Oreochromis niloticus: one gene and its partners. The protein of the gene in region 1 interacts with the protein of each later gene in a pairwise test. Links are inferred from orthologs where the notes say so. Each region holds a gene or a part of one and is shown in the gene's direction. Other genes may lie near its edges. The genes, in order: lyar, prkra and bend7.

The links.
Region 2: the proteins of lyar (region 1) and prkra interact in binary tests that used the Homo sapiens proteins (3 or more experiments, as listed by UniProt). The two-hybrid records come from large-scale screens. The link is inferred for Oreochromis niloticus from reciprocal best matches to the Homo sapiens genes LYAR and PRKRA.
Region 3: the proteins of lyar (region 1) and bend7 interact in binary tests that used the Homo sapiens proteins (3 or more experiments, as listed by UniProt). The two-hybrid records come from large-scale screens. The link is inferred for Oreochromis niloticus from reciprocal best matches to the Homo sapiens genes LYAR and BEND7.

What each region holds. Positions count from the first base shown.
Region 1 is NC_031970.2:28,788,687-28,798,951, reverse strand, and holds lyar (cell growth-regulating nucleolar protein), read left to right. Parts: upstream 1-5,957; 5' UTR 5,958-6,364; coding exon 6,365-6,486; intron 6,487-6,573; coding exon 6,574-6,688; intron 6,689-6,783; coding exon 6,784-6,891; intron 6,892-6,973; coding exon 6,974-7,054; intron 7,055-7,243; coding exon 7,244-7,568; intron 7,569-7,775; coding exon 7,776-7,838; intron 7,839-7,998; coding exon 7,999-8,084; intron 8,085-8,217; coding exon 8,218-8,355; 3' UTR 8,356-8,507; downstream 8,508-10,265. Other genes in the region: zbtb49 (zinc finger and BTB domain-containing protein 49), read right to left, coding at 1,121-1,282, 1,453-1,535, 1,931-2,004, 2,091-2,137, 2,239-3,347, 3,437-3,588. UniProt on the Homo sapiens protein: Plays a role in the maintenance of the appropriate processing of 47S/45S pre-rRNA to 32S/30S pre-rRNAs and their subsequent processing to produce 18S and 28S rRNAs. Also acts at the level of transcription regulation.
Region 2 is NC_031987.2:17,161,832-17,171,782, reverse strand, and holds the start of prkra (interferon-inducible double-stranded RNA-dependent protein kinase activator A homolog), read left to right. Parts: upstream 1-5,518; 5' UTR 5,519-5,710; coding exon of another isoform or gene 5,711-5,741; coding exon 5,742-5,748; intron 5,749-6,508; coding exon 6,509-6,566; intron 6,567-7,394; coding exon 7,395-7,570; intron 7,571-8,068; coding exon 8,069-8,150; intron 8,151-9,951. Other genes in the region: casp10 (caspase-8), read left to right, coding at 214-317, 542-659, 737-1,235, 1,367-1,541. UniProt on the Homo sapiens protein: Activates EIF2AK2/PKR in the absence of double-stranded RNA (dsRNA), leading to phosphorylation of EIF2S1/EFI2-alpha and inhibition of translation and induction of apoptosis.
Region 3 is NC_031972.2:55,931,471-55,941,738, reverse strand, and holds the start of bend7 (BEN domain-containing protein 7), read left to right. Parts: upstream 1-6,316; 5' UTR 6,317-7,537; coding exon 7,538-7,601; intron 7,602-8,198; coding exon 8,199-8,276; intron 8,277-8,361; coding exon 8,362-8,715; intron 8,716-8,911; coding exon 8,912-9,031; intron 9,032-9,108; coding exon 9,109-9,455; intron 9,456-9,868; coding exon 9,869-9,976; intron 9,977-10,093; coding exon 10,094-10,211; intron 10,212-10,268. Other genes in the region: prpf18 (pre-mRNA-splicing factor 18), read right to left, coding at 1,389-1,544, 1,629-1,700, 1,785-1,925, 2,692-2,760, 2,935-3,081, 3,252-3,365, 3,486-3,587, 5,161-5,187 and 2 more.

The sequences.
Region 1 (10,265 bases):
TTAATTCATAAGAAATCTCAAATGAATAACACCGTGTGCAAATCATGTTTAAACAGTGATAAAATGGGGAAAAATGCTGTCATAGAAAAACAAGTTTTAAGAGCCTTAAAGAATATGCAGGTAAATGCCATTTACGCTTTTGCCTTTCCATTGCATTCCAAGACCAGCTGGACTTGTTAGCTAAAGTAATAATATTGCAACAACTTTGGTTCTAGTGTCGATTCCTAGTGTGTCAGTACAAATTGTTGTAAAATGTGGCTCTATAAGACTGAAACAATGTCAGTGAAGGGAACAGAGACAGCTGCTGTTTTGGTGTTGGGTCTACCTTTGTGGCAAAATTGTACATTGTTAATGGTAATTACCTCCACCAAGGAGCCTATGTTATGTTATGCATTAAAATTATGCTTACTTCCACCAAGGTCTTTAAGGTCAACTGAATGATTTGTAGGTTGAAAATGTATAAAAAGCCTTATAACTAGTTTGGTGGTTACTGTCAGCATATAGATGAACAATAACAGTATTGAAAATATCATATCATAGCTGACCTCTCCTTTAAGGTCAAAAGATTAATCTATGTCAAAGGTCAAAGTGTTAATAATAAGGCTATGTAGAGCTACTTAAAACTATGTTTCTTACAGCCATTTTTTGTATTGGTGATATTTAGGAAATCATACGAGTAAATGGGGATTCTAAATATCACATTAAAGTTTGCATCCAAATATCGTGTCAAATTAGATCTCTGATCTCACGTTCACATATCACATCTGCATTTCTTTCATGTTGACCCTAAAATGTGTTGATTTAACTGCACTAAAAGTAGTTAAAGTGCATTTACAAAGTATAGAAAATACAATACTAGCAGTTGAATATTATTTTTCTTTTTTGTGCATTTTGCTGTTTTTTGTTTTCAAAAATGGGAACTATTTAACTAAGCAGTGTCGAGCTCCACCTAACAGTTTGGCTGCTAGGAAGTTTCTAGTCCAGACTTTTTTTTATTCCAACCTGAGAATAAATTTGATTTTCTATTACTGAAATATTGCCGAAAGTTATGTTAAATAACTGTGCCTGTTGTAGACTCTTAAAAATATTTTTAAAAATAAATTGTGACATTATAACTTACCACAGGTGGCACAGCTATGAGGTTTTTCCCCAGCATGCCGGGCCTTGTGCTTCAGAAGCTTTCTGTGCGTGTTGAAGGACTTTCCACACTGGTCACAGGTGAACGTCTTGTCTGTCGCGTGAGTCCTTTTGTGCTCCTTTAGATTGCTCAAGTTGTTAAATCCTGAACAATAAACACGGAACAAGAAATGCATGTCTCAATAAAAGCAGCTCAAGCTACTATTAAACATCAGCAGGAGCTCACTTTAGCAGTAAGACATTACAAATTCCCAGATTGTTGTATTATCAAGTGAGTGACGGAGATTATTGCTCGTGCTGAGAGATGCCACAAACCTCGGCCACATATGTCACACAGATGTGGCTTCTCTCCTGTGTGCACCACTTTATGACGTTGGACATCCCCTGATGCAGTAAAGCTGGAAAACACAGATGAATAATAAAGGACAGTAAAGAAATCATCAGTTTTGATATCTCTATATCTCTATATCTATATATGGTAAGTGGAAAATATCATATCATGTATTTATTTGATATTATAGTATATTATGTGCTACACAACAACTATTTAATCTATTTTCTTTCACTTTGTTAATTACTCACAGCAGTTCTTCATTAGCAGGTTGTTATGCAACTACAATAATTTTTGTGTGAAGTTGAACAACTGATAGAATAATATTATCAAGTCTGGGAAAACTTTGGAAGCACTTTTTGTCTTAGTAAAGGCAAACTCAGTTAAACCAAGAAAATGCTTAAAGTAGAGACAGGGTGATGGCACAAGAAGACAAATGAAAATCAATCCAAATAACTTTACCTTTTCCCGCACAGCTCACAGATGTATGGTTTTTCCCCAGAATGACGCCGCAAATGTGTCTGTAAATTTCCAGCCTGTAAGACAGAATCTGTCAGACATCTGAGTTTAATGTGAACATCTAAGAATAACTATTAAATTAGAAGAGCACAAAAGAAAATACCTGTGAGAAGTTTCTTCCACAAACGTTGCACTGAAAGGGCTTCTCGCCTATAACAGAACAGATCAGTTTATGCCTAAGAGCATTATAATTAATTCCTATAATTCAACGTTAAATGTGTGATTCTAGAGCTGTTAAAATCAGGAAATACCGGTATGCGAGCGCTTGTGCAGCTCCAGGTTGCTCGGGTGTTTGAAGATCTTCCCACACACCTCACAGCAGTACTGCTTGTGTCCTGATTGCTGAGCTGGCTCCGGCACAGGCTTTAGATTTTGCTCCTCTTCATTCACAGGTGGAGGACTGGGAAGCTGTGCATCTGCAGCTGTGTCTGTAACCTCATCTCTGGCTGCAGTGCTATCTTCTACAGGAGCTTCTGGTGCTTGAACCTGGACCACTGTCTCTCCTTGAAGGCTCACCTTTGAACAGCTAAGGACAGGTTCAATAACTGATTCAGTGCACATCTCCTCCAAAGCCTTCTGAGACCGAAGATAGTTATATTTCTTCAGGTAGACGGCCTTCTTTGGGCGCACTGGCTTGTTCATTGAGGAATCTGGGTTAGGAGTGTTTAGATTATCTGAGGGTGTGAGAGAAGAGTCAGGGTTCCTGTCCACACTCACTGATATGGAAGACTGATTAGGCTGAACTGTGTTTCCTGAGTTCACAGGGGTGCTGTTGCCTGCCTGGCTTATCGCAAGTTGACACTGCTGCTCTTCCACCACTGAAGGGCCCTGGTTTGAATTTGCACTATTGCTCTGTATTGCACTTTGTTTAAAGTACTGCTTACTGTAGAAGTTGCGGAGCTTGTAACCATGAGCTAGCTGCTTTTCTACTGGTGCCTGAGAGCTGCTACCCATTTCACAGTGTGAGCTGCTGTTAGGCACAGAGATTGGCATCCTTCTGGTGTGGTCCACGTCACTGCTGAAGCCAGGCCTCTGGGATTCAGAGGGACAGGGCAGGTCAACATCGTTAGGAAGACTGCTTCCAAGCAGGCAGTCATGCTCTGAACCCAACATGCCTGAGAGAGAAAAGGAAGGCATTTCCACTGGCGGAGGACAGGGCTTGAGGAAAGCATTGCACATGCTCTGCACATTCGGAACCTGCAAACACTGTGCGATATCTAGGAGTGCTTGCACATTATCTTGGTTAATATCAAGATGGGAGGTATACATGTAGTCCAATATCTGGCCAATGCCACTGACATCCTGGATAACTAGGTTGAACACGTCATTCTTCTGACTGGGGGAATTTTGGAACAAGGACCTGAAAAGATCAGAGTAATACTTAATGCATCCGGAAACCTTGAAGCAACTCTGTATGATTAACGTTTATTACAAAACAGATAATGGCACCTGAAATAGGAGCTGAAGGCGGCCAGGACGTTTTTGTGGGCTTTGAAGCAAACACCTTTGACAACCAGCATGCAGTCACAGAGCAGACCCTGAATCCTCTGCTCCTGAAGCTGCTGGAGGAGGTAGGAGCTGTGGCTGGACAAACTGTCCATGGTTACTCAGCGGCTCCACCACTCACTTCCAAAGTCTTCATCAAAAAGCGAGCTAAGGGGACCCAAGTTAAAAACAGACAACAACAACGAGTGATTAGCCAGAGCTGTTATTCCTTTTATTTCTCCTGCCAGCGAGCCAGGAAGCGCTAACAGCAGTTTTGAACAGACCGTATTGACATATGGGATTCAACAGCCGCGCAGAATCCAGTGTGCCTCTGCAGCAAGACCACCCATGCAAAAATTGGACACAAACTGCTAAGCTTAGCTACAAAGCTACGCTAGCCACCCATGTTATTAAGCGGTGTAAATCGATTGAGCACAAAATCCCGAATGAATTACTTTTAAAATCGAGAACTGCTCCTCGGTACTGTGACTTATATATTATCTTAGCCCATAAAGTTGGGGGTCAAACTTACATTAAAGGATTCCAACTTTTATTTGGATGATAGGTCACTTTTCGACAGGCATGACAAACGTCACTTCCTGGTGTAGCTTCAATTTCGAGTTGCTAAACGCTAATAAATATCGTTAACCATTATACAGATATACCATGTTAAATAATGGAACGGCTAAAGTCACTGTAAGGAGAGGACATGCTAAAAGTAACCACGTGGTTCATACTTATTTAAAAAAGTTACACGAGGATCGTTTCCACCCTGCTCGGAACTTTTCTTTGGTTGCATTTGCACAGGGAAGACTAATAATGTAGCGACCAAACGGTCCGGTGTTTTGTTTTGTTTTGTTTTGTTTTTTAGCAAAATCAACATACAAACAAAATGCACCATATATTATACATTCAGAAAATACAAATTTCAACCTTTGTACAAAGGTTAAAAGAAGACGGGGTCATAAAAGTTAACAGAGTATTAACTCACTAAATCAAAATCTTCCAAAAAGGAAACAAAAAATGCAGCCTTTTTCTTTTTAACTAAAGTCAAAGATTTAAACAACAGGTTTAGGTCGTTTTTCCAGTGAAATAAGGTTGGTTTGGTCTTAAAAAACGACATTTATGTATATATTGTATACACAAGATTAATAAAACATTAACACCATAATTGACTTTCTTTTCCTTCAGAAACATTCCAAACAATATCATATTTAAGGTACATGGGGTAATTTGAATCCCACTCGATTGAAGCCAGGTATGAAAATCCAACCAAAAGATTTGTATAAAATTGCACAAAAACAAATAGATGGTGCAAATCCTTCTCTTCTGTTTCACAAAATACACAATTAATAGTTTCTACCTTAAATCTATCACCAAGGAGCGTATTTGTTGGGTTAATTTTATTTAAAATTTTGAATTGGACTTCTTTCCCTTTAGGAGGGATAGGGAAGGGGATATAATTAGTTCTTATTCTTTCAATTTCTTCCTTTTGGAAATCTTTTAATATGTAATTACGTCTAAATAAATTTGGAGAATAAAGACTCCTTAAGGAAGATCTTAGAAACTTATTATTGCATTTAACATCACAAAACTGAATACCATCTATATATAACTACCTTAACTTGGGGGAGATGTCAGAATATATTATATCACTTACGACTATGTTTTTAAGTGACAATGGAATTTTACAACCCGATTAAATTTACTTTAAGAACATTGGATATTAAATTTTTGGCAAAAATCGTAGTGTCCTAGAGCATGTCCCTCCTCATCTACAAATTTTCAGTAAACACTTAATCTGGCTGATGAATCTTCACGTGACACCTGATAATGATATTCTGTCTAAGGAACCTGCCATGCTACACAGTGTGGTAATAATTATGGGCAAAGATAAGATAAGATAACCTTTATTAGTTCCACACGTGGGAAATTTGTTGTACCATATCCATAAGTGTAAATGGCACAAGTGTAAATGGCAAAACAAAAGACCTTCGCTAAGTGAGTTGAAGATTGAATTAATAATACAGACTTAGTAATATGTCACGTGAAGATTCGTCAGCCAGATTAAGTGTTTACTGACAATTGACAGTGATGGCGGACATCATCATCACTATTCCAATCAATCCTCTCCACACAGACAATCATAAACACACTCGACTATCACTAAATCAAATTTAACGCATACACAAACACGATTTGTAATGACGCTAGTTCAGTTTACAACAGGGCTCATTCGCTCGGTCAGCAAGTGGCAGTATCCTTGTACACTGGGGAGTAAACTTCCATTAAACGAAACAGGTGAAGAAGAGAACATCTGCACATGCGAGGTACGGATCGGGGAGTCCTGATCCGTAACTGTTTTTTTTTTTCTCGTTTTTGTCTACATTATATTAAAATGTTTCATTACTGCAAAAATTTTAAGAGAAACTTATTATTGTTAACATCTTAACAGATATTCTGACCCCGTAAAATGCTTCGAGCGGAAGTAGTGGCCTTTCGCACATGCGTGGTACCGATCGTGTTTCCGGTACAGATTGGGTAGTGGTACCCTAATGTGTGTTTGGAAAAGTTTGTAATATAACGAAGCTGCTGAACGTTTGCGCTCAAATGTGATTTTGAGGAAACAGATTTAATCCGTGGGCTCACACCGTTTTGACCTCCACTTTTCCCAGGAGATGGTTTGTTTTTGTAGTGTTTTACAGTTTTAGGGGACCAGGGTCTGCCGCCGTTCTTTGGCTAACGTTAGCTCGTATCAGCGCTGTCACATGCGTTCAGCTTTCGCATGAGAGTTTAACCGACTTCGGTTTATAGGTCAGTACCGCAGAGTGTAGGCCGGTTCAGTTTTGACCGTTATCGCCGCACTCTAGCCAAACAGGAGAGTCTTTGAATATGGTGTTTTTCACCTGCAACGCTTGTGGGGAGTCCCTAAAAAAAGCTCAGGTTGATAAACATGTAAATATCTGCCGGGGCTGCCAGGTCCTGTCCTGCATCGACTGTGGAAAAGACTTCTGGTAATTAACGACTGTTCACTGCTACCCCAGGCTAACAGGCGCTAGATCAGGCTCGGTGCTAACGATTTGTGTGCATTTTTGTACTAGGGGCGATGACTACAAAACCCACATTAAATGCATCAGTGAAGATCAGAAGTATGGAGGCAAAGGCTACGAGGCGAAAACAAACAAAGGAGATGTGAAACAGCAGCAGTGGCTCCAGGTAAGATTCAGGGAAGGAAAAGAAAAGAAAAACTCTGCAAAGCTTTTGGATCACTTAGGAAAGCCAACTGTTCTACCTTTGTCCTTTTCCTGAAGAAAGTCCACGAAGCCATGAACAAACCTGGAGTCAGTGCAAAGCTAAGAGATGTCCTCCAGCAAGTCAGTACTTACGATAACGTACCTAGAAAGAAGGCCAAGTTTCAGGTTAGTATTACTTAAAACTGTACAAAGTAATCAGTTGTCATGTTAATGTTGATTTACTGTCACATTTTTCTTTTCCCATCAGAACTGGATGAAAAATAGTCTCAAAATACCAAACCCCAGTCTGCAGGAGGAAGTGTGGAATATACTTGCTGCAGCTGATAACGTAAGTTAGGCTTGTTAGTTCTCATGTTTTTTGTTTTTTCTGTGAATGTGTGCTTATTAAATTTGAATGTTACCAGGAAATGAATGGAAGCAAACTGCTCCTTTTAACATCAAGTATGCCATAAAAATAAAGAGTCTAGCATGTTTACAATAGCTGTGGTGATTGTCTTTAACTGCCACTGTCTGACAGGCTTCAGAGCCCCCACAGCCAGCTCGGCAGACAGCGGCTGAAGTCAAAGTGCACACTAATGGAAGAGAAGAGCCGAATGGCCACCCAAGTGTTGAGGAAGAGAAGAAGAAGAAAAAACTGAACAAACGGGAACGCAAAGAGGCCCGACAGCAGAAGAATGGGAAAGCTACAAAAGGTGCTGAAAATACAGTCGCACAAGAGCTGGAGGAAGAAATGGTGGGCAAAAAGAAAAAGGACAGAAAGAGAAAACAGCTCTCTGAAGAACCCAGGGATGATGAGAACAGCCATGGCACTGAAAATGAGACATCGAGCAAGAAAACAAAGGGTGAGTCAAGATTTCTGAAGTGCTAGACATTATCTGTTACTGTCATGGTTAAACTGAGTTTAGGTATTCTCTAACACTCAAGCATAGATTGAGGATGTTTACATCAGCAGCTTTGTGAAGTCTGGTCAGATTTATGTTTATTTTTTTGTTCTAAAGTGTGTGTGTATTTCATATTTATTAGATAACTCTGTTATCATCCTTTTCCAGTTGATGAAGAAATGGAGGATGCTGATGATCAAGAAGAGACTGAGGATCGAGCTGTTACTAAAGGTACGGTGGAGCTAGCAATGACTTGAGATTGCCCCGCTTTAATAAATGATTAGTCCGTGATTAGGCAGCAGAGGTCAGTGTTGCCTCTTTTGTTCAGAGTGAGAAAGTGACCCTTGGTGATTAGTGTCTGCACTGAAAGCTGATTTCTGTTTCTCATCAGGCAAATTTAATTGGAAGGGGAACATCAAGGCAGTACTGAGAGAGTCACCTGACCAGGAAATGTCAGTGAAGAAACTCAGAAAGAAGGTGAGCCATGAAGTGTTTTCATTGCTATATGAAATGAGGATGAAGTTGTTTATTTGTATATCAAACTCTTAAAGTTTCAAAACTCTATAATCTTTTATTAACACTAAAGTAAAAGCTTGCTCATGTTTTTCAGGTTTTGGCTGCCTACTATTCCTACACTGGTGATAGGAATTTTAAGAAGGAGGAAGAAGTGCTAGCACTTTTCAACAACAAGATCACCAAAAATCCAAAGCTTAGAGTTTTGAAAGATAGAGTTAGACTTGTAAAGTAGACTCATTCATCTTCTCCTTTTGACATATTGCATAGATTTTTAAAATTTCAAAGCCATCATTGTCTTATTGTTGTCTGTCATCTTACATTGGACTTCCTTTTTTTAAAAATACAGTTGACATGATGTTGAAGATAAAACATTTTTACCACTGATTTAAGTGTCTGGTTCCTGTTTGACTTCCAAAATTTAGTACTGTTTAATGTATGACAATTGTGATAGATGGCTGCTCTGTTACGCATTCCAAGCTCACGGTAAGGCTGGGAAATGGCACCTTATCTGTGGGATTGGATGTTAGAGTGGGGGAAGGGTAACGGGAGAGGTGCACCTGAGGTGAATTAGACTCTCACACGGGACGAAGTTAATGCACATTCCTCGGCACCCCGAACGGGGTTCACTTGGCCAGGGACACAGAAGCCCCATAGAAGCAAGACGCCTGGTGTCAGCCTCAGGTGAAGTTTTAATGCTGTCTGATTTTGCACGACTAGAATGAGCAGTCTCTTTACCCTGTACGCACACGCAGACACACAGACACAGACGCACACACAAACAGGAGGAAATCTGCCCAGCTTTATGAAGCTCAGCTAATCCCAGCAGGTTTAACACTGATGCTCATTCATCACACTGCTTACCTTGTAATTGTATATTACATACTTTGGGCTTTAGTCAAGCTGTAACTGAAGTTTGGTAGTATTAAAATGATGTTTTCTAGTCCACCTGGGCTCAGCAGAGCTTAATTCTGTTGATTTAATCCAGACCCCCCAGAATACTGAAACTACATCTTCACTGCAAAACAAATGCATTTATTCAGGCCTTAGTCTGCTGTATATGATTAATAACATGCCGTTGGTATCAAAGTGAAATTATGAAACGTACAGCTCTGTGTAAAATGTTATTTATATTTCACTTCCAAAGAGCCAGACTTTCTCATAATTTGTTTTTTAAAGACTTATTTTCAGTCTAGTTGGTATAGCTCTCCATTTTCTTTCACTCATCTATGAATTATTCAAGCATAAAAAAGCTACCTTACTCGAGGAATTGGCCGATGTTGTGCCTGCATAGGCAACTTACAAAAGGAACTGATTTTTATATTGTGTCTTTGGGGACTTTGTAATCAGCAGCCTGTCCAAAAAAAACCCCCAATATAATCCATTCCTGGTTATGGAATCTACAAAATGCAGAGAATAACAAGGTTTCAAAGACAAAATAACATTTTTGCACAAATAAAAGAATGAAAAGTTGGCATAGATTGTCATGGTGTGCGGTGTGTCTGAAAGATTTTAATATACTGGAATAGAAAAGAAAATGGCATCTGGCCACCCTTAAGAATTAGAAGAAAAAAAACAGCAAAGACCTGACACAAGATCAAAAAGATGTAAAAGATGTAGTTTTTGTTGAAACCTCATCACAAATGGTCACTAAACACAGTGGAGGCTCTGTCATGATTTGGGGCTCCATTTCACCCAGTTTGGAGATCTTGTCAAAATTATTGGATTTAAGAACACAGAATAGTACCATCAGATTTTGATCCACCATGCAGTACCATCTGGAAAGTATCTGATTGGCAAAGGTTTCTTTTTGCAGCATGAAAATGATCCAAAACACAGTGCCAATGCAGTAAAAGCATACCTGGAAAGAAAAAAACACACAGTGAAACACTATCAGTCATGGATTGGCTTCTCCAGATAGATTGGGTGGCTCAAGAGTTTTCCACAGCACTAAGGCTTTTTTTTTAACTTATTTATTTTTGGTTTATAAAATTGTGATATAAGTGTTACATCTGTATGATTTTCAGCACTGTTACACAGTTTTATTTCAGTGAGGTATTTGAATATATTTTAATAAGAGGGGTCATATTTTTTTTTCATTTTCCCTAAAGATGAGGACATGCAGGAGTTGTGCATTTATGTGAT
Region 2 (9,951 bases), on another chromosome or scaffold:
AACCTTTTACCTTAGAATTTAAAGCACCTTGAGGCAACTGTTGTTTTGACATAGCACTGTATAAATTAAACTGAATCGAATGGGTTAAGCACTGAGACGAGCAGTTGTGACTCAAACAATAGCTAAACTCTTGTTTAGCTTTTTGTGAAATATCAGACGTTTAAAACATTGAAATATAATTGTTCCTCCCGCAATAATTGCCCTTCTTTGCAGTCACCTGTCCTGTTATGACAACTGATGCTATATCAACTCAAGAAAACAAAGAAAAGGAGTCCTTCACCATGCCGATATCTCCATCTACAAACACACAAGATGAGGTGTGTGTATTTTTTTTCTTATATATGCGACATGCTTAAAACGTAATCACTGGTTAGGGCCCTGGCACTACATTTAATTTGAGCTGGAGCCCTCCAGGGAGATCATTCTTCCCTTTGTATACTTAGTTTTCATTTCAGAGTTTAACTTGTGTATCAAATAGAAGTTTACAAGTAATGCACTGAATCATGTCTTCCCTGTAATCTGTGTCATTTTATGTCTGTAGGGCTTGGGAACATATCCTATGACGTCTGAAAAGAGGGGTATCTGTTTAATTGTTAACAACTACGACTTCAGTAACTCCAGCCAACTAAATAAACGTAACGGAACTGAAGTGGATCAAAGTAAGCAAATTTTGACAGTCAATATACGCTGCATGTTTGTGGTCCTGCATCATCTTTGGATTGTCTGTTTCTTCCAGAATGTCTGCAGAGTGTGTTTCAGTGGCTCGGCTTTGAAGTGGAGAACCACCATGACTGTGACGCGAACAAGATGCTCTCTGTGTTCAGGACGCTTAGCAAAAGAGACCACCGTCAGTTTGACTGCGTAGTGTGCTGTGTTCTGAGTCATGGTGTGGAAGGCAGCGTGTACGGTGTGGATGGATCCACTGTCAAGATCAGTGATTTGACTGACCCCTTCAATGGATTAAATTGCCCATCTTTAGTGGGCAAGCCTAAGCTGTTTTTCATCCAGGCCTGCCAGGGAAACAGAGAGCAGCAAGCTGTCTGCATTGAATCTGATAGCTCTGCATACAGCTTTTGTTGGACTGATGCTATAAAGGCTGAAGAGGGTATCCCACATAGTGCAGATTTTCTGCTGGGAATGGCCACAGTTCCTTTTTATGCTTCCTTCAGAGAGAGAACCAATGGCTCCTGGTTTATTCAGTCTTTGTGCCAAAACCTTGTTCAGATGGTGCCCAGGTTAGTGAAGCAAAATATCAAATATAATAAAATTACATTATTATTTTTTTAAATGAAGAAGAATGCTTTTTTTTTTTTTTTTTAAACAAAAACACTGTACATTATCTCACCCTGTATCTTGTTTTTCCTAGGGAGTGTGATCTCATGTCAATCCTGACAAAAGTGAATGCAGATGTTAGCCAGAAGAGTGATCGATATGGTCAAAGAAAGCAGATGCCTCAGCCAGCCTTCTCACTCAGGAAGAAAGTGGTCTTTCCGGTTCCCAACGTCCCTCCTCCATCTATTCACAAAGCATTGTCAAATTGATTTTTTTTACGTTATTTCAGAGCTGTGGATGCATCAAGAATTAAATGCAACATGCAGCAGTTTATGTTCAAATGTTTATTTTTCAGTCGAAATTCTACTGAATGTGCGTGACTGCTGTTACTAATTGTCATCTAGATATTATATAGGCAACATCCTTTTTCCATGTGACAAATTTGTTGAAATGCAGGAATTTTTTTTATCAAAAAAATATTTTTTTAATGCAGTTTTGTGTAGAATATTTTGTATTTTAGTCCTCTGTGATACAAATCAGGATTAATGTTCTTAATAAATGTGGCTCTTGATAACCTCACTAAGTCACCATGGTAACTTATGCTAACATGCTCTCGATCAGGATGTTTTTAGAGTTTAATGTTAATTCTGCTGTTAGCGTTGGATTCTAACAACGTTCTCTAAGTGCCATAGAGATTCTCCATTGATGCTAATGAATGAAGCCTTGCAGTCTGCAATTGGATGTCTTGTCTGTTGGCAGCCAGCCTGCTGGCACAGCTCCATATGGAGCCGTGCCAGAATTGATTGAAATGTAACCAGAGTAATTAATATTGTTCATTCTTTTAAAAAAAAAACAAACAAACTTTACCCCGTTTTGTTATATTCCTAATTAACTGTTGTAAGTGAAAAGTGAAAATCAACGACTACTGCATTACATCAAAATACAGACTCTACTAAAAAATGCTTCTCAGTTTCTTTATAAAAATGTTTTGTCAACAAGCATTGTAATTGTAACACACAGCCATCCTTACAAGACAAAAACGCAGTCAGGGAGAAAGACTTGTCTTACACAAGAAACTTTGTCACGTCACCTTCCTTAGTGAACCATCCACCTCATGACGGTGAGTCACAGCTGCCTTTCCCGCAATCATTAACGCTTAAGATGTATACTGTGTATATTTTGTAGTCAGTAATGTGTTAAGATTTAAAATGAACCTTTTGACATTTAGCCTTGTTTGACTTTGTCTAATAATCAAGAGTCCAAATTTCTACAACAAAAATCGCAACAATTAAAAGCAAAATGTGACAAAGCTACACCTACGGGATGTGTGACTCAGAGCGAAAGGCCTCACTCTGTTCCTGTACCTGCTCTGACAGGTTGCCTAAACGTCCGTGCTATCGCTGCAACACCTCAGCACACAAGTATTTTCCACATACTGATAATCTGTTGAAACCATATTTCCCTGTAACAACCAGTCACTTGTCAACCACCTTCTCCTTTTACTGCATTGTTTGTTGCTTCTCCCTCCAAATGCTCGACTTCTTGCAGAAGTTTTTGTTATGAAAAATGTTACAGGTAACATTACCATGGCAACATAGAACTCACTGTACATAGCTCACAGACATTCAAGAGTTCCTCTCTTGCAGTTTAGACAGACTTCACTCACTTGTTTTGTCTCCAAATGGTTTCAACAATCCATCCATAGGACAGAGATTTATGCGTATTGCAACACTTTTCACTTACTAATGGAGTGATCAGCACACCAACTTTAACTCTGAGTCTTGTTTATCGAACCAGACTACAGCAGGAGACACTGAACCATATACTGAAAGTGCCACAAACATGAGAACATTCTTACTTAGCATTCAGTAATTTCCTTTGAGCCGAGCAGCTCACATGCTGAAAGTGATAGATGTTTAGGTCTGACAGGGACTGCCAGTGCAACTTCTACAGAGACGTGACCAGGGAACACACTGCGAAAGCTGCTATGTGAGTGCATGATTTTTATTTTTTTATATTTTTTGGGGGTAAAAGGATAAGTCAAAACTTTGGTGGCTGAATTACAACAAAATATAACAAAGTCTGCCCCTCCAAAAATAAATTCTCAGGGATCAGCAGAAAGGAGGAGCACAAAGACAAACAAGGCAAAACAAAGTATGACACAAACCGAAGAATGACTTTCGTACTAGTCATGGCTGTGGGTTTTTAGTAGGTTTGATTCGACTTTCCTGTTGTTATCGACCATGTCTGAGCTGCAGAAACCCAGCACTTGAACCTCTGTCTCCACCTTCAGGTCGACTCCATACAAATCCCCTGAACTGCTTTGATTTGCTTGTGTCCGACTGAGAGACACCCAGATCAGTCTCCCTGCCCTGCACTGCCTTTAGGGTGTTAGGTGTGTATTATATGAGTAAAATTAAATGTAACTATGAATTTGCATAACTTTTCAGCCTACACTGGAGCTCTTTCTGGATGGACAGAGTGTTTGAATGACAGCAATTTAAGCAAGCTGTAGACTATAACTGAAATAGTGTGTTCTCTGCTCATTGAAATGATCGGCCAGTTTAAAGTACTGCAGGGTAAAAGTTATAAAAGGACTTAAAATACAAAAGCAAATGGGTTTAATCTGGTTACTAACTACTTACCAACCCCCTGACATTAAAAAAGCTGCCTGCTTTAGTAAGTCAGCAAGAAGTACATCTATAATATCTATACAGGCAAGCTGGTGAGTTGAGGTCAGGATCGAATGAAATTCAACCATAACTAACAGTATGGCCTGACCAACTTTGGCTTCTAGAGGCAATTTCATGTGTTTCAGTGGTGAATCAAAATGCGCCCTAATTTCCAACCCTTGTCCCTCGTTGGTGTTTCACATCCACAACGCACATCAAGATTTACAGCATTCAGTTATATAAAACCACAATACACTATGCATATAAAACTACATTAAATACATATATGAGAAAAATATGGTCTAAGAAATATACACCAATGAATATTATTTCCAAAATTATGAATAATTGTGAAATTAGCCTTTGTTCTGATTGTCCAAATGTGGCATTTTACACTAAACAAATGTAACAAATATCAGTCTAACATAATTAGGAAAACAGTAGACAGTCATATATCAGTCTAACACAACCTTAAGCTTAAAGCTTAAAGCTCAGTTGTCTTAAAGCTTTGGACATTGGTTTGTTTCCTTACTTCGGGCTCTTTCATGAGATTTCTCTTGGTTTAAATATAATAACTTAATTTCTCTATGACCATCCTTTTGTAGAACCACTTGATTGGTTAGGGCCGTTGCTTTGCACAGCCCGCTTTCAGTTGAGATTTAGTTCAGACAAATTTCCCGACATTTTCCTTTAGAATTCGGAGGCGTAGCATGTAATTCATTGCTCTTTCAGTGATGGTGAGCTGTCCTGGCCCATATGCAGCAAAACAGACCCCAAACAATGACCGCATCACCACCATGTTTCAAGAATGGGATGAGGTTGTCTGGAATGCATTTCCTTATCCTTCTCCACCCAAAGCACTTGTTATTTACCCCAGTAAATTTAATTTAAGGATTCATCTACTAAACACTTGACAAACAGCCTTCTGGAGTACCCACATGGAAAGCAGGATTGTTCTTTTGAACTGGCTTTTTTCTTGCCGAACAACATCAACGAACAATAAAATAAACATCAAATGAAAAACTAAAAGAAAAAACCAGCAACTGGAAAATTACAGTGCTACCATTGCAACTGCATTAGATTTAATTGCATCATACTCTTACTATGGGGACAGACCATAACCACCTCTACTCTATAGCCAGCAGAAAATGTTATCATTTACATTCACAATCTATGATACCTAGTTTCCTGTTGTTTTGATTTATATTGCTGTTTAAACAAGCCTTGCTGTTCTTTGTGTTCTTTTTGTCAATGCCAGCTATTATTATTATTATCATTATTATTATTATTATTATCATTATTATAGTAGTAACACTAGTAGTAGTAGTAGTAGCAGTAGAAATAGTAACTGTAAATGTTTAAAGATAAGCTAATATAACTTTTTTTTTTTTTTTTTTTTTTTTTTTTTTTTACAATTTAATCTTTTGAATTTTTTTATTAAAAAATAATCTAAAACATGTTTTTACGGGGACACTGTCGCGTCCAGTTGAATAGGCACGACTCACCGGTAGGTGGCAGTAAACGCTTTAGCTCACACATTCTGACCTGCGTTTGACCCGCGTTGATCCGGATGTTGATATAATGTTAAACTGGCGATTTCCCCGGCGAAAGTACAGTGAGGAGTTGCTAGCGTTGCCAGGCCACTTAATGTTCATCACAGAATCATTGCTAGATGTCCAGAAAAATATCTCATCGTCGTGTTTAAAAGTTGTTTTGGCCGGAACAGAGTCTGTAATCAGACCTGTGAGGAACCGTGAGCTGCAAACATGTCTCAATCACCAGCAGTGAAAAGCGAGGATGCGAGGTCAGTGTTTTATTGATAGTAGTCGTGTGATAAGAGGTAACGGTGCACAATCAACCAAACCGCTTACATGTCTAGTTTATGTCAAATAATAATGTAGTTAAATTAAAGTGCATATTATGGTATATTAGCTAGAAGCTACAGCAGAAGTCGTGCCAAGTATTTGGTCTTAAGTTGTATTTACGTGTTGTTTCTTTCACTAATCTTTTAAATTAAATGGCGGTAAATAAAAAAAAAAAATGTCTGCAGTGATTCACCACAGCTATCCGCTCTGTATGAAAAGGAGACATTATCATCAGAGAGAAAGAGGTGGTAGCCAAATACCCTAGAGCTGTAATCAATGGGAGAATTCAGTCATAACAAAGATGGCGGTAGAAGTATAACTTTCAGGGTTAAAAACGTGGGGCGATGATGCTGATGGTAGGGAATGAATGGTACCTTTTGCCTTCAGTGCTCCCTCATTCAACAAGGTGGTGAATGAGATTGTTGCTCCATACTGACATGACAGCATCGCACAGTCAGTTGCTGCAGGTTTGTTGGCTGCACATCCATGACGTGAATCTCCATAGGCCCAATACCTTCATTACAGTCTACAAAGAGAGTGACACTCACAGTTTTAAATGTATATAGTCTACAAAGCTGCTTTGTTAATTTATGTGGCACATAGGGAAAACCTCTGCTGTACATAGTGTGTGCAAGCAGAGAAAAAGAGAACTTTTAATTTTTAGCAATGCGTGCCAGAATCATCATCTTCTTCTTTCAGCTGCTCCCTTAAAGGGTCTCCACAGCTCATCTCCTGCCTCCTGCCACAGCAACCATCTGTATGTCCTCTTTCACTACATCTATAAGTCTTCTCCGATTGAGCTTGACTGATATAGGATGCCAATATTTGGTGATTTTAAAAAAGTCAACAACAATATACTGGACAGCATATTTGGGTTTTTTTTCTTTCAGACTCAAGACATGAACAGATTTCTAACATTTGTTAAGTGTTGGTATTTATTTGTTATTTATTGTTCTTACTAAGATTATATGACAATTCACTTTTAATAGAAAGTTTTTTTGCTGCATCAAGTCGTGGATTACTTGTTTTTGCTCTTCAAGACTGCTTGGTTCCGCTGTTTGTTGTATTTGGGGTTTTTGTGTTGCCAACACAACAAAGTGAAGGTGAAAGTTGCAAAACTATGTAACATCAACACTCATACTATAGTTGAAAGATGTTTCTACTGTCTGTTCTTTACTCTTTTATTTATTTATTAAAATGTTCATTTATTAGCTGTTTGTAAAAGCCAATAAATGGCTATTTTATGATACACTGTATCAGCACTGCAAATACCTAATACCGGCTGATATATAAGTCGGGCTCTAATATGGAAAATGAAGTGGCATATCACAGGAATCACAATAGAGTGTATTCTGAGACATAATAGATGCAATTAAAACTTTAATAGACTCACTAGACTGCATTACTCTGAAAGGAACTGCTCCATTTACTTTACCATCCTCACTTTTTTCTTACATTTTATTAGCAGTTTAAGAGCACAATCAGTCATCCTGTTGTCATTTGTTATTCTGTCATTCAAATTTAACGAGTGAGTTATTACAGTCATAGCTCATAATTTGTGTGTCCTTGTGTTGACTACGTGCAGCTTGGATACAAACGAATCACAGAAAAGCAACTCGGGGAAGACGCCGATACAGATCCTGCATGAATATGGCACGAAAAGCGGAAACCTTCCTGTGTACGTGATGGAGAGGGCTGAAGGAGAGGCTCACCAGCCCAGCTTTGTCTTCAGCGTGACAGTCGGTGACGTAAGCGGCATAGGTAGGCTACGCTGTCACCCCTGCTGTGTTGATAGCTGGCTGTCACCGAATGAGGGCTTTTATTTGAGTTGAAAATTGCACTGTGGTAATTCAGAGAGAGTACCTCAGGCTGCAACATGTTCTTTGTCACTTTGTTGAATTTCTCTTCTGTTGCTGAAGCAAAGTGTTTAAATTTACCCTCTGTATCCCTTGTTTTTTAACAAAGATATCACACTTCAGGCATAGAAAAGTGCAGGTCCAGAGAAAAAGGGTGAGAAGCAGTTGGAATGCTCCTCATGTTGAGGTGATGAGAAATGACTTAGTGTCTGTATTTAACATCTTCTACCAAGCCTATGGTTTAGGGAAAAAAGGCTTTAAAGTTTAAGTCCTTGTGTTCTTCCCACTAGCCTCTCACACTTTACATTTGATTTAGGGTACTGTGGCTTTCAGTTAGGTTTATTATTATTGCTGTTTTGATATTGTATAACACAGGCAACTGATTGGTCTTTTTTTTTTTCAGGTCAAGGTCCAAGTAAAAAGGCTGCTAAACACCAGGCTGCAGAGGCTGCTCTAAAAGCTATGAACATAGACGCTGGAGTCATGTAAGTAGAGCTTAATCATTTAAATTACTGGTTGGAAATAAAAGTTGTACTCCTCAGAGGTTCGCAAATAATGAATATTTGCCTCTTTGAACAGCAAGCGGACTTTGTGCTGCCAAATACAGTTGGCAACAGCAAAGCTCTGATAATTTTTTGTTCATTTTCTGGGTAAGTCGTCAAGGCTATAATTAGATTAATGAGCAATGAAAAAAATTAATTGCATCCCAAATTAGTTTCAGTCAAAACCGTGCCAGTGTTGTGGAACTTTAACAACTCAATCTGTCTGCATTTTGAATCATTTTGGACATTTTATAGACTGGCTGTTATAGCATAAAACACAAATGTTTAAGATTTTGACAGGAATCTTTTACCATTTTCATTTGTTTAAACACTGAAGTCAAAACAGTAACTGGAATTATAGAAATAATGCTGATTATCTTGTTATAGTGGCATCTGTCAAAGGATTGGTTATGGAGTGTTGTGGAAAAGCCATGACTATGCACTCCTTGTGTATAGATTAATATCAAGGAGTCAGACTTTCCTGAATTTTTTAAGATGGTTTTAAGCAGTAGTTCCTCAGTCTTTCTGAAGGTCATTCAAAGTTATTTGTCTTTTTAAACATTGGCTGCTCTTTCACTCAGTTCAGTCCTTGTATGTCATCACTTTCAGAAGATTCTTGTTTTTTTAAGCCACCTAACACTGACCTATGAATCATTCAAGCAATAAAAAGCTACATAACTCAAAAAATGAACCAGTTTTGTGGCTACACTTAACAGATAATATAGGAAAGGACCAATTTTGGGTGATTCCAAAATCCTGTTAGCTAAAAACTTCGAGTATCTCAGACTGGTGTGCAGTGTGTTCTTATAAAATTTGAGGAAACTTAAGGCCGGAACCCCCCCCCCCAAACATATGAACAATATTTGCTTTAAATTTTCATCACTATGTATAGAGAAGGCCATGACAGAGGCATGGTGAGTGTCTACAGCCATCAGAAAAATACAGTGGGGACTCTGTCATGGCTTGGAGCTGCATTTCAGCCAGTGGTGTTGGGGATCTTGTCAACCATCAGATTTTGATCCACCCAGCAGTACCATCTGGATGGGCATCGTACTGGCAACCACTTTATTTTTCAGCAATTACAATAATACATCTGGCAGCAACACCCAAAGAAGAGCTCTGAATATCTGTCAGAAATCTTTTACTATTCCTGAAGACTACTTATAGAAATGACAAGAAAGCTTGACAAGAGTTTAGGCTGTGCTGAAGAAAGATGCGTTAAAGGTGATCATACCAAATATTGACTGTCAAGCTTCTTAGAATTACAGGGAGTGCAGAATTATTAGGCAAATGAGTATTTTGTCCACATCATCCTCTTCATGCATGTTGTCTTACTCCAAGCTGTATAGGCTCGAAAGCCTACTACCAGTTAAGCATATTAGGTGATGTGCATCTCTGCAATGAGAAGGGGTGTGGTCTAATGACATCAACACCCTATATCAGGTGTGCATAATTATTAGGCAACTTCCTTTCCTTTGGCAAAATGGGTCAAAAGAAGGACTTGACAGGCTCAGAAAAGTCAAAAATAGTGAGATATCTTGCAGAGGGATGCAGCAGTCTTAAAATTGCAAAGCTTCTGAAGCGTGATCATCAAACAATCAAGCGTTTCATTCAAAATAGTCAACAGGGTCGCAAGAAGCGTGTGGAAAAACCAAGGCGCAAAATAACTGCCCATGAACTGAGAAAAGTCAAGCGTGCAGCTGCCAAGATGCCACTTGCCACCAGTTTGGCCATATTTCAGAGC
Region 3 (10,268 bases), on another chromosome or scaffold:
CCAGCTGAATTCCTCTTTAAGACAAGAATAAGGTTATATGATTATTACTGGGCATGCCAAGGAGCTCATTTCCCAAATTGCCTCGAAATGTTGTTTTTTTTTTCCTTTTAAACACTCAGTAGCCAAATAAACAATGTAAGTCTTAAGAGTTTTGGGGGATGCACAACTATAATGAAAATGATTACATATTGTTAAAAATCAGTTTCTATTCAATTTTATTTATACAGCGCCAAATCACAACAACAGTTGCTTCAAGGAGCTTTATATTGTAAGGCAAAGACCCTACTTAAGGATAAGCTTAAGTAGGGTCTTTACCATAATGTTACAAAAATGTTTTCCTGATGAGGCAGAATTCTAATGTCAATTTGTTAATAACCACCAAATGTAAACATACTGCATGATTGCAAGGACCATGTTCATAATGTCCACAAATACACACTGTCTTACATGTAGTGGTTATTTGACTGTATTAAATCTTATAAACTGAAATGCGGGATGCTGTCCTGAAAACAAACGCCAACCTAATAATGATTAAAAAGTCACCTGAAGGAGAGGAGTCAATTTTGTTTTCCATAGAAATATGTTTTGGTCACAGTTTTTTGGTTTACATAAAAACACCACTGAAATCAAGAGGATACACATGCCTGTGTGTAAAACCATATGAACATTTCTAAAATCTTTTAAAAACCTTTAAAATCTTTTCAAGTTGTAATCTTTAAAGTCTAAGGGTGTTTTCCCACCAGTACTATTTAGCTTGCTTGAATCAAATTATGATTTGCTTTCTCACTGGGTGTGGTTCTTTTGTGCAGATGTGAACACAACGATTGGACTCGGGTACAGAAAAAAATCCAACCTGACCAAATTACAAGGCGCACAGTGCAAGTTTGAGCTAAATACTTTCCCGTAACCAGGTACGCTTTGTATTCTGGGATATGTCATAGCACCATACATGTGCAGAGTACACAAACTATAGCAGGTAGCTGTAAAATCAACCACAGGCCAACTACTCCAAAACACAGCACCTTCTTCCTGTACTTTTGTTGGCCATGCCCCAGACACAACTAAAATCAAACTGTATGAAAAAAGTTCAACTTCATCAACTGAATCAGATCAGACAAACCAAATTATAGACGTGTAAACACTCTGAAGCCTTGATTATATTTCCATATCTGTAAGTCAGCATGGGTCAGGGTAATGTAAATTTCCAAAGTGCTGACTCGTCAGTGAGGAATTCACATTTACATTATACTGCACCAATTATACACGCTGCACATGCAAGTAAAATAGGAATAACTACTCAGCCGTGATATCTAAAGCTGTTCATGTCTGTCTCAGCAACAGGTTATCATAAAAACATAAGTGTGTGTGTGTGTAACTCTGGCTCTAACCTGAATGTATTTTCTCTGCGTCTCGTCATTAAGAACGTGGGCCACGTGCTTGGAGAAGATCTTTTCTCGTCCGGTACGGGCGTGGATTCCCACCATAGTCACACCAATTGGCCAGGGGGCATTACCAATGGCCATCTGTAGATATGCATCATTTGCCTGAAAGACATTTAGGAAAGTTTATAATGGATGCAAAAATAACTTTGCAAAAATAACAACAGAGGCTACATGATATTATCATACCTTGACATATTCTCTCTCCAACATGAATTTTATGATGTCTGTGATTGACTCTTTGATGTCAGCTTGTAAGTTCTGTAAAAGATAATGATGAAAAGTAAATCCACACATGAAAGAACCACGCACTATAGTTTGTTTTGCTCCGGTCACATAAGTTACCTTCTTCCTGAGCTTCCTGAAGAGAGGCTTGAGGTAAGACTCGGTCTGCGAGTGTGTCGCACTGGCCAGCTTGCCCTGAACGCTGCGCTTCACGTGGTCCTCTCGGCTGTTCAGATCTTTGGCCCAAACGCCAAGAAGAAACTAGAGTCCAACAACAAATATTTTCTTTGAGGAAAATGTTTCCAAGAAATGCAGCGGTAACCAACACTAGACAAATATCCATTATTTGAACCACTTCAAAAAGAATAATGGTGCGAAAGGTTAAACTTTTTTAACTATGTAAACATATAAACAGCAGCAGGTATAGTAGTATGACTTTTTTAAATTTTTATAATTAATATTAACCCAAGAGCTCCCTGTAAACTAGGGGTGTCAAACGTAAGGCCCAGGGGCCAGAATCTGCCCCAAAAAACACACCAATTAGCCCCACTGGAAAGCTTTGGAAATTGTGAAGGGTATAAATTTGTGGAAATTTAACTTTAGTTTTACAATTTTTCCTATTGATCTAGACCTCCCCTAGAGTTAAGTAATAGATATACATTGAAATGAGAGAAAAGCTCCTGTTTTTCACCATCTAAAAAAACAAAACATTTTCTTTAAATTAATAAAAACTTTTATTAATAGAAACTCTTTTATAAATACTAGACAATCTGTTCCATAAGCTCACAGAACTTTTTCTACATTTATCATGTAGAAAAACTGAGATGCACTGTTCAAATGCTTCTTCTTTCCTTACATCAAGTCATCTCATAGACTACATATGTAGTTAAACGTCTTTACACTGAGAGAAAGGGGCTTTTCACTCGTCTGTCCCACTTAAGATCAAAGTGGGCTGTATGTGACTCACGGTGTGAAATACGTTTGACATCCTTGCTTTAGATCAAAAGGTCAAGCATGAAATTCTTACCCTCAAAAATTTAGCAATAACATCCTGGTCTCCATCATCATCACCTGTTCCAAGAGTTTTTCCAAGAGCCTAGGGGGGATAATTTCATTATTAACACAAAAACACCACCCACAAACATAAAATGATTGAAAAAAAACAAAAAAAACCCCAAACAAACTGTGCCCAAAAATTGATCTGACAAAAAAGAAAAGCTATTTAATAACTGGAGATTCATTCTTTCTCCTTGGACATTGTGCAATGTACCTCAAGTTCTTCTATTGTGGTGTTTTCTTCGTGCACTTTTAGGTCATGCTGTGTGTCCAATTCTCCTGACTCTGTTCCTCCAACAATCTCATTCAGGTACTGCTGGTCAATCTTGTCCATGGCGGCTTTCAGATCATTCCTCAAGCCCTTGGCACAGTTAAAGCAGCAAATATTATTAGTGTCACTAAAATAAATTCAATATGTCCTTAATACAATCAAGAACATTAGTAGTGACATACAATTTTCCAGAGTAGATGGAATAAATGTGAATTTCAACTGCATGTTTTTTCCAAAATCCAGTTAACTCTCAATCCTACCTTGTTTACTTCTGGGGCCAGAATCTCAATTTTCCGGAGCCTCTGGAAGGCATCATAATCGGACTCGCCAAACAATCGGATCGGTTCCCCTCGTTCTCTAAGTCGTCGAATAACCTACACAAACACAGTGATGCAAATCAAATATTTATACACTTGGTGGTAAGCAAAAGAAATGTTATGATATTTAAAGGAAAATGAATTAAAGGAAAGTGCTGATGTTTTATACTGACTCACCTCCTGTCGTGAAAGTGTCATTGGGAGCTTCTCTTCTGTGAGCTCCAGTTCCAAGACTGGATTAGTTGAAGTGGATGGCTCATCTTCCTCTTTCTTCTCAATCTTATGGACAAAATTGAGGGAATAGAAATACGCCAGCATTATTGGAAGAACATTAGGGCAATTTGGAGGATCTGAATTTAATCTAATCTTCCTTGGCCAAATGGCAAATAAAACTACTACAAAAAGAGGGGGGGGGGCATTGGCAATTTCTTCATGAGCTGAGACCTCATGACCAAAGAGACAAAAAGGCATCAACAAAATAAGCAGAACTGCAAACATTCACACCACTCCCTTACCTGCAACTCTTCAAGAAAGACAAGTAGCACAATAAGTTACCAAAAAAAAGGAAAGAATATAACAAATAGTACATCAACATGATAACTTTCGTGGCTGTAACATCTTATGTGTGATTTAGGCTTCTGCGGGAAATCTACATCCTAACTAACGACGCAACCGGAAACCCCTGTTAACCCTAGCCGTTGCGGGCTGTGCTGACCTGCTGTGTAGTTACATCAGATTACATGCAAGGTTACAGCATAGGGTTAAAAAGTGTTTTTGGTTACATTGTAAGTAACAAGGTCGATTTCCCAAAGAAGTCTAAATCACCCATCAGGCGTAATCACAGGAAAAGATACTCTGTATTCTTTGCACAAAGAAACTCAAAATATACCCAAATCATGCTTTAAAAGGCACATGCATGCCAGCACTCTTAGATTGTGCTTTTTATACCACAATCTAAAAGAACAACCAGCAAATGGTGACAAAAAGCCTTCTGAGCAAACAACAGCTCTTTCGCTTTAAATAAAACATAGTACGCTGCCCGTGTACAAAGAGAATGGCTTAATGAGCCAGGTTTTTAAGCTTTACACAAAGTATAACATAAATACAATCTGCCACTGAGCAGCTGTTAAAATGTCACGGCAAACAAGTTGCACACCATAATTTGCTTAAATATTAAAAGCTTCTGTCACAAATTATCTGCAAAAATAAGAAGCAGAGCTTGATAACAAAAATACTTTTCCATTTCAGTACATTATCCCATGCTGAAATCAACACCGTGGCAGTGTCCCACTTTTGCTTTGAAGCTTCCTTTCCGTGTTCCTTTGCTTTCTGACAAGTGGCTGTAATATGTAACTAGCCTGGCATAAGGCAAAGCTGTGATAATGACTGTGGCACATATAAATATTTCATTTATATGACATTTAAACTATGTTGATAATTTGGAAATGACACAGTTTACCATCCACAGAACGCAGGTGAGTTTAAATCAAGCTTTAAAATGCTTTCATGTTATTGACTAAAATTTTAAAATCACCTTGAAAAGTCTAAATTTATCCAGCAGAAGTGAGCTGGTGAATATTTCCATTTGTGTACAGCTGATATCCAATTATTATACACTAAGTTACTACTAGGTGAGTCCAGGCATCCTGTACCAAAATATCCTCGTGCTTGTGTGGTTATTTGTAACAACCAGAAAATGTGCCCTCCGCTACGTCTTTTCTGTTTTCATCCCAACAGATTTCAGTAAGAACTTCCAGAAAGGATGCCTAGGAAGCATGAGCGTTTAGGACACAGTGTGTTTTATCCTTTTATCATGCATCCTGTTGGCTACTTTCACTGTGCAATGCCATACCTGGCTCTCAGGAGTCTCTCTCTGAACCTACAGATGCAGGCAGCAGAGGCAAATTGGGGAAAAACACCACAGTAAACACAAATACAGACACTGTTGTACACCTGACCATCAACACCTGTCCTTATCTTTTTTGCTGGCAGAAAGTTTACTCGTTATTTTGTGTCACACTAACCAAGCCAGACAGTGAATTAAATAAGTCTGAGTGTCTCAGGAAAATCGAGAGAGTGAGAAGCAGAGTGATGTTGACATGAACCTTGTATCCGCATCTTCTGAAGTAATCTTCTCTTTCCTTCTGTGAGAGCTCAGCCCTTTTAAAGAATCTTTTGGAGTCCTGAAAAGAAAAGAAAAAAGCAGGTAAAATGAATTTATGCTATCATATGATATCAATATCATATATTATTTGGTGGTGGTGATTGGCGGGGGTATTGTTGATACAGTGGTACAGGTAGGACGTTATGCAATAGATAGCATGAGTTTGAGATGAATTTGAGCTACGTGTACCTAATGAACTGCCATGTGCCCCTAGCTCTCCCTAGCTTACTTATGTTTGCATAAAAAAATTATATGTTAGGATGAGTTTAAACGGCATAAATACCAGAATTTCTGCTTAAATCGTGATACTATAAAGGTAATGTTCTGTTACGTAGCAGCAATTACAATTCGTAAACTACAGCTCTGTGTTTAGCTTAATCCTAAAGTTAGCTTTATATTCTACTGCAGATGGAGTTCAGTACTTTATAGATAAAGCTATCGATATGGATGAAAAACGATCATTCTAGAAATACTTAACTAGCCTGGTTAAACGACGTGTTAGCAACATAGCCAAGCTAACAATAACAAGCAACTTCGTCGAATACTTACTTCAACAAGATTTTTTTCTTCGAGGAGTTTCCTCTTTCTTGCGATCTCAGCTTTAAGTATATCCATCTGAAAGGTTTATTCTAACAAAAAACGGCACATTAAGGTCAGTCTGCGTTTACCCAAACGTTAGAAACACGATTGCCTAAACCGGAAGATAACAAGAAGCTTTTCAGAATTTTCAAAATAATTGTTTCAAAATAAAAGCATTAGAACACAATGTAACCTGTGTCTAATGAATCTGTTTTTCAGTGAATTTAAGCAGACACCAAAAGAATAAGGTCAAACAGATAGAAGAAAATAGATACTCCTTTATATATTATTTTCTGGATATGTATGCACACTAGTTAGCCAAACATTGGGCTAACCCAACAATTAAACCACTGAGTTGTGGTTATCGCAACACCATGTTCTGCTGTGAAACATTTGGATCCTAGACTCTTACCTTGATAATTGCAACCCACCAAAACAGACCAACACCATTTCCAAAACACTACACAGTAGCTAATATTTTGAGGACAATGACGGGGCCCAGTCAAGCTCCAAGCCCGAAAACCTCTAAACTCACCACTGTGATCCCACTGTGTCAAGCATCAAAATGGACCGAAACAGGTTCAATCCACAGATGCCCCAAGATCCTAAAAACTGCTGCCAAACAGGGAAATCTGGAAAAAGGGTCAACACTTAGGGGTGTTTGTTTTACGTATCTGGCAGTTATGCTCTATACTCCAAGAAGGGAAGATGAAAAATCCTCACTCAATCTTTTTTAAATCCTCCAACATCTTTTCTAGATTGGTGATAAAGAAAATTATAGCGAAAGAGACTAAATGGCCTTCACTTGTAATAGGTGACTCAATAGTACTTCCTATATTTTCTGCCAGTGACTCTAGAAGTACACAGTTGTTATGACTGGAGGAGGAAGCATGATCCCTTTAATGCACTACAATAGATTTACAAAGATATCAACCACGGTAAACACCAAATACCTGGTAACTGAGTTATTTGTTTCTCCTTTCAGTCAAACAACGTTTGGCTTTTGGCTCTTTTTTTTCATCTACAGTAGCCTGTAAAATGAAGTCCTTTTAAAAAAATCTCTAAAGTTTGTTTTTCTGTTTCAATGCTGTTTGTGTTTAATACCGGTTCACAGTTTGGACACCACTAGCAAATGTCTGACTCGACCTTTCAGATGAGAACATACCATCAGGTGGCGCAAAGGGATATGTGACGATTTTTTAATATTAAAGTCATTAATTTATTTACATGACGGAAGCCAAGAAGCAGCATCATGCTGGCAAAGGGAATGGACTGTAGAATACAACTGAACGGGTCACTTTGAGCTTAACACTGCGAATATTTGCGAAGAGATGAGAGAATCTGTAGCGCAAGCAGGAAAGAAATTTAACTGATTAATAAGGCAGACGGACAGTGATTCCGCTGAGTGTATCCTAGTCAGTGATTTCGTCCTCCCGAAGAGCGAATATTTTTCCACTGCACGACTTACTGGATATTCCACCTGAAGATGGAGTTTGGAGAAAGGAAGAGGAGAAGGAAGTCGCAGAGCTTTAAACTGGTCACGGATGGAGGTAAGCTGCTGAATGAATGCAAGACCTTGCAAGACGCGCGTCTGTGTCTGGGTGTTTGTCTGGCGCTGTGCGCCAGCAGAGACGACTCTGTAAACAAAAGCGATAGCCGCGACAATGCCCAGTCTGTGCTTCGGTTTTAACCAGCAGCTAACTCTAGGGATTCACATCTTGCATGTAAAAGAAAATAAAAGAAACATCCTGGACATCAGTCTGAACGCGTCTCATTCCGGGTAGATTTTTAAGACTGAATTAAGTAAGCAAATTGAATAAAATGTGAAAATATATTGCGCACTCTGAGCTCGTAACAAGGAGCTTCAACTGTGCACTTTTTGCTTAAGCTGTAAGGAACACACCACCTCTCTTGACTACACTACTTCATACCACCTACAGGTGGTGGTTTTTGCATGGGATGGGGTGGGGGTGAGGTGGAGGGTTCTGCTTTGGCAGGCATCACAGCTCATTAGCCCGCACAAGCTTCAACCTTAGAAGGCAAAAGGCCGCAATATCATTCTATGACATCTGTCACCAAGGTTTTGTTGCGTTTCTTTACAGCTGTGCTTCATAACGAAACCATTCTTTTTTTTTTTTTCTTTGCAGATTTCGAGCCTTCATATGTGATTAACTCCAGCTCCAAAGATGCCAATGGGGAGCCAAAGGATGGTGTTATGTCTGATGGTATGTGGGATTCAGAGAATGAATTTTGATTATATATCATACAAGATGTCGGTAATTACATGAGCACCATTCTCTCTTAATGTAGTTTGGCTGGAGGATGAGGGCATGGAGATCAAAAGACAAATCACAGGAATGATGAGGCTTCTGAGCGATAAGACCAGCAGAGTATACCAGCGTGCTGGTACAGAGCAGGATAGCTTAATAAAGGAGCCCCAGGAAAAGCCTCTGAACTGGGTAAATCAGCCTGCACTTTTATCTCTGGTGTCAGAGGACCACCAGAGCAACAGCTGGAACTCTGCAGAGGACCCAGGGCCTTCACCTTCATCCATATCCATCCCAGTCCCAAACGGCCCAGGCTGCGGCCAGTACAGCACACGCTCCAGAGCCCTCAGGATTCTCAACAGCACAAAGGATTTAATCAAAGTGAATGAAACTAATGGTAGGATATGCATGTTTGAAAGGAGAAAACTACTAAACAAACCTTAAGTTATTTGAAGAATAGTGAATTTCATTAAATATTGAGTGCTGAACACCAGAAGTGGCTTACACCTTTGTTGTTACATTAAAGCATGTTTGCACCTGTGTGCATATGTTAGAGTGAACGAGCGCTAACAAATGCATCCCTCATTTCCCAGCAGATGTAGTTCCTCCTACTGTGCCAGAAACCCCCTGCTGTATGTGTAACTGTAAGGGCACCTTGCAGGCTATTTTGCAGGAACTACGTGCCATGAGGAGGTTGATGCAGACTCAAAAAGGTTAGTAAATGAATACCAATACACACCCTAAAATAAAGAAATAAAACACAATATAATGTTTTTCTGCCTTTTAATAGCATCTTTAGAAAGGCAGGAAAGGGCAGCACCACCATCTCAACCTCGCCTAGGTGCAGGACCCAGTCCTCGCCACAGACCTCGAAAGAGGAGGCCAATCTATAGGATGACTCCGTTATCCGTGTTTAGCACCAGAAGAGCTGGTCTTGCTCCTCTGGATGCATCACTGCTAAAAGCTGCACCTATGGAATCTGTAAAGAGGCGAGAATGTGAGAAACAAGACTCATCTACACCCAACAATCATCCCATCTCCTCTGACATTCCTGTGCCGCCACCTCAGACCAACCCAGTGACGATCAACAACACCCCTCCTCTCCTGAACCAACTAAGGGAATCACAAGCATTAGAGGTAATCTGTACCTTAGTGTGGATGTACATATGCAGCAACATGTGTGCTTACCAAGCCTCATTTGCATGCTTAATTTGATTCAGGTACACTGCACCTGTCTTATGAATTTGAACGTGTATGTGTATTTGCATGTAAAAATAATTTGCAGCCTAAACTTTGCTTCTTTTGTGAAGCTCCATGCCTAAAAAAAAGTTTAAGTACCTTGATTTTTCCTTGTTTTTTGCCTAATGAGACATAAACCTTTGTGCAAACATTGCGGTTTATTTTACAGCACATCTATGATTCGAGCTAATGCTAGAAATGAAGATAACGTCTTCTTGCTTTTTCTTTCTAAAAACTCATTTATATTTCAACTGGTGATATTTATTTAATCCTTTACAATTAACACTCTGTGTTGCTTGACTCCTTCACAGTCTGAGGTGCGTCTTGCAGAGGATTATGACGTGTTTATCTCTAAGGCCCAGCTAGACTCCATTCTGGTCAACTATACACGCTCAGGCAGCCTGCTGTTCCGGAAACTGGTGCACGTCTATGATTTTTAAAAGCATTTTCTCCTGCTCTGATTATTTTATAATCGTGTGAAATGTCAACAAAGAACAAAAAATGCTGCTTGGTCAAGAGCTGTGCTGTGTGTTTAGGTGTGTGCCTTCTTTGATGACGCCACGCTGGCTAACTCCTTGCCAAATGGCAAAAGGAAGAGAGGGCTAAATGATAACCGTAAGGGCTTGGACCAGAACATTGTGGGTGCCATTAAAGGTAGGGCAGAGAAAGACAAACTAAAGTGTAACTACATTTCTGAGCAAACATTAATGT